Canis lupus familiaris: one gene and its partner. The protein of the gene in region 1 interacts with the protein of each later gene in a pairwise test. Links are inferred from orthologs where the notes say so. Each region holds a gene or a part of one and is shown on either strand. Other genes may lie near its edges.

Region 1 (3,813 bases):
TGAATAAATCTTAAAAAAAGAATCTTGTAAATGCCTACAGAAAAATCTAGGAAGACAAGCACCAAACTGTTAAGTGTCATGGATAGGAAACAGAAACCTGAATATTCTACTTCATATACTTCCTAATTGATACTTTATATTTAACATCTATTATTTTGAAAATAAGTTAAAAATAAATTAGCAACCTAGGAGTATACAAATATCTTGGAATAATAAGTGACAAGTTCATATTTATACCTATCACAATTAACAAATCTTAATTTCTAGATTGGTAAGAGACTTGCTTCACTTTATTCAAATACATACTGTACTCAGAAGAGATGGAGATACGTAGTGTCCTCTTTTCAGAGAGAGATTCACTCTGAGGACAAAGTATTTCTCGATGAGGTTCAAACCTCACCTCTAAAAGTAGACAGAAGCTTGATTATCAAACCACCCACCCAACTGAGCTCAAGTGCTTCAGGGTCTGAGCCCCTAACGTAGCGTTCCAAGTGACTGACACTAAGAGCGGAGTGTCACAACTCACTGGGCATGCACTGCGGTAGTAAGTTACCTTGGTTATCAAGTTTTTCTACATGACTTTTCAAAATTCTCCATTGTTTCCTGATGCTGTTGGTCAGCTGCTCTCTCACAGTCTCACAGGAAAGGTCCCACATACTCTCTCTACTCAGTTCCCCAGCATCTTCTTCAGCATCAGAGATAACCTACAAGCAAGAGAGATGAAAAGGAAAGACCAGTATCTTCAAATGGCTCTAGATACTCAGGCAGTACTAATCAAACCGATTATCAGAGATACCAAAATCATTTGTGCCATATCGTATGCATATATAACTGAAGACAAACTCTGCAACTCAAGTCTCTTCAAATATGAATTTGAATCCAAATATGATAGTGAAGAGTCCTGGAGCTGTGTGGGGAAGAGTTATTTGCTATTGCCCAGTGCTGTGTTAGAGCTCTCACAGGCTAACTCATCCTCAAATGTGGGAAAAGTGATGCTTCGAGAAGTAGACACACTGCCCCCTATCATGCACCCAAGAGGCAGAGCTGAGATCTGGAGTTAGATCAATTTATCTCCAATCTGAGGCTGCTTAAATAAATAAACCACTGAGGTTATCTACAAAGTAAAAGGAACTGTGAATCCTATTTTTCTCATATAATTTTGAAAAATAAAACTAGAGATTATTTTTCTTTTCACTTAAAACATGGGAAAATACTGTAAACCACTGATATAGGATCACCTAGAATCAAAACAAGATAAAGAACACAGGGAAACAGTACTAAAATACATTATGTCAAAATAATCTGTAGCTACATAAATATTATTATATTATCTTATATATATAAATATATATATTTCATATATATATGCAGATATATCTGCATATATATCTGCATGTATATCACATATACACACACACACACACACATATATGATATCTGCATAATCTGCAAAGTCCTAAATTTGTTGTTAACATCCAGGAGAGTAGACAGAGATATATTTCCCTGACATGAAAATAAAATATCATGCATGGAAAGAAAAGGAGAAAGGTCAAAGATGAAGGAATGCTGATCAGACCGTTCCCATGGGCAGGTGCAGCAGGAATGAGAGGGGGACTCGGCTGGGAGAGCTGTATCACTGGCCCGGGTGAGCAATGGCTGCCAGAGTTCTTCTGGTGTGGGGGGTGGGAGTGGGGGGCAGGCTGGAGAAAGGCCCAGCACAGAGCTCACTGTGACTCTGGTTCTTGCCAGAAAATCCTCTGGAGCTACTTGCCAATAATTCTTCCAAGGAGCTACACCTCCTACGTGTTAAAGCATACCAGAGCACTGTAAAGATACTCTGAAACCACAACATGAAAATAAAAATTTAACTTGAATTTTTGGTATATGTTTGGCTATAATTAAACACAATGATAAATTAACGAAACCTGAAGGCTACATAAGCATTTTAAGGTTATATCTGATTCCTCCTACTATAAAGCTCCAAAAATCCTTAAAAGGAAGGATTGGATTACATCCTAAGAGGAAAAAAGATCTAGAAAAACAGGTACTTTAAAAACAAAAAATATACTGAAGCGATTATTGTTTCTCCACATGTAAAATCTGAATTATTAAGAATTATACAGGATACTATCGACTGGCTGTAGTGGCGAGGAGAGGGGGAATTTAAACATCTGAGAAAGGTAATCTTTTTTTTTTTAAGATTTTATTTATTTATGAAACACACAGAGAGAGGCAGAAACACAGGCAGAGGGAGAAGCAGGCTCCATGCACGGAGTCCGACATGGGACTTGATCCCGGGTCTCCAGGATCAGGCCCTGGACTGAAGTCGGCGCTAAACCACTGAGCCACCCGGGCTGCCCGAGAAAGGTCTTCTTGATCTACACTATACTACTTGCTTTTGCTAAACAAAAGCAGGTAATGATGGTAAAGGTTGGGCCAAAAACTGAAGGAACCGCAGGAATAACAGACACTGTGCTTGGCCTTGGAGATATATTTGTGCAAGTTCACAACGAACAAAAAGTGACAGACTATGAGAAAAGGCTGAAGTCAAGCAGATCCCAAACTGGACAGTTTAAAAGAACATTAAGGTACATTTCTTTCTTTTTTTTAAAAAAAAAAAAAAAAGGAAAAAGAGATAGAAGGTGGGGTAGGCTTATCAGTTAGACTGATCTGTGATACAAGGTAAATAATTCCATAATACAGGTTTAAAAAACAAGTTCTGATAACTTGCTGATAATTAGCATTTCCCATCAATGTTATTTTCAGATTTTAGTCACTTGGCTGAATCCAGAATCTAAACATGTAAAGCAGTAAAGTTAACAGAAGTTTTCACCATTACATGACTTGCTTTTTTCAGACCTCTGCACGGATTATTCCCTCTGTCACATGCTCCTAACCCCAGGAACAACTACCTATTCTCAAGAGCCAACTCAAATGTCATGTTCTCTGTGATGCCTTCCCTGATTGCCACACCTACTTTGCTCAACACCTTGTACCACCCCTATTATAGCTTTTAACATGTGTAACAATCACTTTTCCACATGCCCCATCTCCCCAAAGAGCTTCCTGAAGGATGCAATGGACTGAACGTTCATGTTCCCTCAAATTCACAGTGAAATGCTAATGCCTGAGGTGCGGGTAGTCAGAGGTGGGGCCTGTGGAAGTGATGAAGTCATGACAAGTAGAGCCCTCGTGAATGGGGTGAGTGCCTTGGTTGAGCTCTTCTCCCCTGTTATGTGAGGGTGAGGGGACAAGGAGTCAGCAGTGTGCAGTCAGGAAGACGTACTCTCACCAGATATTGACCCTACTGGCCCCCAGATTTTGAGCCTTCCAGCTCCAGAATTGTAAAAAATAAATTTCTGTTGTTCTTAATCACCCAGGCTGTGGTAGTTTGTTATAAGAGCCCCAATTGAGACAAAGAAAGAAGTCAAAATCCTTTTAGCTTTTTCTTTCCAGGGAGCAGAATGTAAGGGACATTCAGCAAATTTCTGGAAAGATTAGTAGGTTCCCAAAGTTAATGCTTCACTCTGAAAAGTAAAGCCGGCTCAAGTACAGAATACCTAAACTATTAAGAGGATACTCAGCACAATGGTTAGAAACATGAACTCTGGGGTGAGACAGACTTGGATTTAAATCCTAGTTCTGTCACGTGTGATACTGGGACTCATTAGACGAGTGTGCCCCAGTTTCCTCAGCTATAAAATGGGGATAATTATGACAGGAAAAGCATCAAATTAGAAGAGTGAAATGAGGCAATGCTCACAAAGTGTTTATCACAGTGTTTGGCACTAAGTCCTTCTAAAGTCATCTCCA
Region 2 (4,257 bases), on another chromosome or scaffold:
GATTCTCTCTCTCCCTCACCCTCTCCCCTCTCCCCCTGTTCAAAGGCTCACTGCCTCTCTCTAAAAAAGAAAAAAAAGAAAAAAAGAAAGAAGAAAGAAAGAAAGAAAAGAAAGAAAGAAAGAAAGAAAGAAAGAAAGAAAGAAAGAAAGAAAGAAAGAAAGAAAGAAAGAAAGAAAGAAAGAAAGAAAGAAAGAAAGAAAGAATCTAGCAGATCTGGTTCATGTCGGAGCTGGATCAGTTTCCCACCTGTTTCCTCCCTGCTTGTCACCCACCCTGGCTGCGACCTCCTTCTCCTCACTGGTAAGTGGAGATTATGTACTATATATCACAGATACGTGTATAACAAGAGAGCCCCTCCACACCTCCCCACCTCCCTCAGTATAAAATCCCAGGTCCTCTATGCAGCTACAGGCCTGGCTCTCAGCCTGAAATTCCACATTCAGTCACAAAGAACCATGAACTGTTTACACTCATTAATAGGCTCCAGACGGGGCACACAGACCCACAAACAAAGCTTTGGAGGTCAAGTAGAAAACATTAGAACATCTATACTTTTTCATCTCCGTTTCTTTTGGTGTGTGTGTGTGCGTGTGTGTTAAAGAATAGCTTTATGTAATAGGGGCCTCTGGCTGGTTCAGTGGGTGGAGCATGTGACTCTTGATCTCAGGGTCACGAGTTCAAGCCCCACCTTGGGTGTGGAGCCTATTTCAGGGGAAAAAAAAAATTGTGCTGGCCCAGAGGATTCTCAACCTTCCGATTTACAGTGCAGATTCCCAGGCACCCCTGGACTACAGGCTGTTGCTGGACTGCTAGGCACCAGTGACCTCTATTTATCCAACAAGCATCTCCTCCTTCGCCCAACTACCTCCAGCTGTGGCACACAGTAGGCGGCTTAGTGACTCGTTAGGCTACCCCATGCCAGGTGCTACTAAGCGCTCCACCCCGGGTCTCGAATCCTGGCAATCACACCCAGCCACGATGTAGCCGCTGTTATCATCCCCATTTTACAGAGGAGTAAACTGAGGTGCAGACAGGTCCGGACGTAGCCGCGGAAGAGCCTCAGAGCGAGGAGGGGCCCCAGGTCCCGAGGGAGGGGAGCTGCGAGAGCGATGAAGTGGGGAAGCGCGAGCTGGGGGGGGCCCGGAGATTCGCGGCGGCCTTGCGATGCGGCCCCGCCCCCACGAGGGACGTGAAGACGCGGACCCCGCGCAGCGTGGGGACATGTGACCGACTGCAGAGGCCGCGCCGCCTCCACCGCCCGAGGCCCGCGCGCTCCGCCGCAGGGTGCAGACCCCCGGCGCCCGCGGGGCCTGGGGCGCGAGGGCAGAGGCGGAGCCGGGGCGGAGCCAGAGCGCCCCGTCCACGCCGTCACCCCCAGCAATCGAAAGCGAAAGAGGGGGCCGAGAAGGAAGGGCGGAGCCGCCCGGAGGCCCCGCCCCCTGCCCTGCGCGGCTGCTGGACCCGGGCGCGCCCAGGTAGGGGGGCTCCGAGCGCGCAGTGCGGCCCCTCGCGGAACCCGCGCCGCCGCCGCCGCCACCATGTCTCAAGAAGGTGTGGAGGTAGGAGATGCCTGCGCCTGGGCCGGGGGCCCCCGAGAGGCGCCGGGGGCGCCGAGGGGGCTTCGCAGTTCTGGGGACTCCATCCGAAGCCCAGACCTTACCCCTGGCGGGCACTCGCCCCCCCTCGGAAAGGATAATGACCGCCCCGGCCCCCCAGAGTGAGATGCGGCCTCCTCGAGGAAAAGGGGGGCTGCAGGGTCAAGGGTCAGAGGCCAGGTTACCTGGCCGGCCTCCTCCCCTAGCCGGGGGCGCTCGCCCCACTCCGCTCCCTCCCCCAATGCCCGGTGGGGACTTTGGCTTCTCCCAGGAAATGCCGTAGAGGGATGGTGGGGGAGGCCAAAAGCAAGGGTCAAGTTCGGGCGGGGAGAAGGATGCCTAGAGATGGAGGAGGGCAAGTCGCCCCTCTCCTTCCCCGATCGGAACCCCCCTGTGCCCACCCCAGCTGGAGAAAAGCGTCCGGCGCCTCCGGGAGAAGTTTCATGGGAAGGTATCCTCCAAGAAGGCGGGGACTCTGATGAGGAAATTTGGCAGCGACCACACCGGAGTGGGGCGCTCCATCGTGTACGGTGAGCCGGCTGGGGTCCCGGCCCTGGTAGGGGAGAGGAGGGGGGAGCGCGCGAGGGAGGTGTGGTCTGTGTGAAGAAGCGCCGCGCTCATCTTCTGGGGAGGGTCTATATTGGGGTTCTGGGGACCCTGAAACTCCCAGAAGATCCTTCAAGGACCTTTTACTTACACTTAACTCTTGCCACCAGGGGTAAAGCAGAAAGATGGACAGGAACTGAGTAATGACCTGGATGCCCAGGTAAACTGCCCCTCTTGCCCTCCAAGGATGGGGTAGCTGGGGACCGGGAACGGAAGGAACCTGGTGTATCCATGATGAGCCCCATCTGTGCACCACCAGTTCCTAGTTCATGATCCACATTGACTTAGTCACCTTTTAGTCATGCGTCTGACCCGGGAGCCTGCAAACTGTCGGCACTCATTACATGTTGGTGGTATTAAGTGGGGGAGAGAATCGTGAAATTGGGCGGTGAAATGAATCAGGACTGATGTCATTACAGAGGACCCCTGGAGGTCAGTCGGGAAAGGCTTCCTGGAAGAGGTGGTGCCAGCTTTGATGCTGGGGAGAAGGGATCCTGGGTGGTGGGGGAGTTGGAAACAGTCTTCCTGGAAGAGGGAACAGAGTGAGCAAAAGAACACGCAAGACAGGCTAAGATAAACATGAGATGGGGGAGGAGAGAGGGCAGGGGAGCCCATATGATGAATGAATGGCTTTGAGGCACAAATGCAACATGGCTACTTTACACCTTAAATGACTTTGGTGGCCAGTGCACTGTGCATTTCATCTTCCTATAAGGCCCCCCCCATAGTTGCTGAAGAGTATAATAAGGTACATATTGAGTTATTTATATTTACATGTGTAAAGGGTATGATAAAGGTAATAGGAGGGGCGCCTAGCTGGCTCAGTCTGGGGAGCATGCTACTCTTGATCTCAGGGTCGTGAGTTCAAGCCCCACATCAGGTGTGGAGCCTACTGAAAATAATTCTTTAAAAAATTATAGGAGGGACGCCTGGGTGGCTCAGCGGTTGAGCACCTGCCCCTGGCTCAGGGCGTGATCCTTGGTCTCAGGATCGAATCCTACATCGGGCTCCCTGCCTGGAGCCTGCTTCTCCCTCTGCCTACGTCTCTGCCTTTCTCTCTCTGTGTCTTTCATGAATAAATAAATAAAATCCTTTAAAAAATAATAATAAACAAATTAAAAATAAAAGTAAAAAATTATAGGAAAGTGAGCACTCCCCAGCAGCAGGCTTTCCGCGTGTTGCCTCCAATTCCAACCTGAAGGCACTCGCCAAGCAGGCCAAGCAGGTGGCATTTAAGCCGTTTCCACCTAGAACCATAGCTGCGCTCTGAGATGCCCCTCATTAGGGATGCAGGGGGAGTGATTTGGCTCCGCCCTCGCAGCGGGAAGTGCTGGAGTCGGATGGGAACCTGTGTCTGTCTGAATCCAGAGCCCAAGCCCTTAGCCTAAAGCGGCATGGACTCAAAGAGGTGACCCCTCACAGTGCCACCAAGTGTGTGGCATTTACCAGCAGGGAGGGAGCGCGGGGATCCAGGCCTCTTCTGCCATTCTCATTCAGGGTGATCTCCGGCCACCCCTCTCCCAGCTCTGCCTCAGTTTCTTTGTCTGAGCGGTGGGGATAATAGGTGTGCCCTCCACTGTGAGGACAACTGAGGTCGTGTACCTGGCCATCTACAGGCAGGCCCTGCTCAGACAGCCCTTCCTGAGTTAGGGACTCCCTACTCATATGGGGCCAGGACCCTGCCTCCCTCCTCGTCCAGGAGCCTCACCCCCAACAAATAATGGTAAAAAGAGGTCTGAGCTGCACCCGCAGTTCCTGCCCCTGATGTTTCCACCCAGGACCCACCGGAGGACATGAAGCAGGACCAGGACATCCAGGTGAGTCCGGGGTATGGGATGGGGGGAGGTGGAGTGAGGAGGACATCCTTGGGGAGAGTGGATGGTGTCCATGGACGAGGAGAGACATTATAGCAGCAGGAGAGGAGACTTACGCGTGTTCATATTAGCGGAGGAGGCGTGACCACCCTCTTGTCCCTATCCCGAAGGCCGTGGCGACGTCCCTCCTGCCACTGACAGAAGCCAACCTCCGCATGTTCCAACGTGCGCAAGAAGACCT

What was found.
Region 2: the proteins of SSX2IP (region 1) and SHFL interact in binary tests that used the Homo sapiens proteins (3 or more experiments, as listed by UniProt). The two-hybrid records come from large-scale screens. The link is inferred for Canis lupus familiaris from reciprocal best matches to the Homo sapiens genes SSX2IP and SHFL.

The regions. Positions count from the first base shown.
Region 1 is NC_049227.1:63,794,190-63,798,002, reverse strand, and holds part of SSX2IP (afadin- and alpha-actinin-binding protein), read right to left. Parts: intron 705-3,813; coding exon 554-704; intron 1-553. UniProt on the Homo sapiens protein: Belongs to an adhesion system, which plays a role in the organization of homotypic, interneuronal and heterotypic cell-cell adherens junctions (AJs).
Region 2 is NC_049241.1:51,360,860-51,365,116, reverse strand, and holds the start of SHFL (shiftless antiviral inhibitor of ribosomal frameshifting protein), read left to right. Parts: upstream 1-1,409; 5' UTR 1,410-1,539; coding exon 1,540-1,560; intron 1,561-2,002; coding exon 2,003-2,126; intron 2,127-2,312; coding exon 2,313-2,362; intron 2,363-3,980; coding exon 3,981-4,019; intron 4,020-4,186; coding exon 4,187-4,257.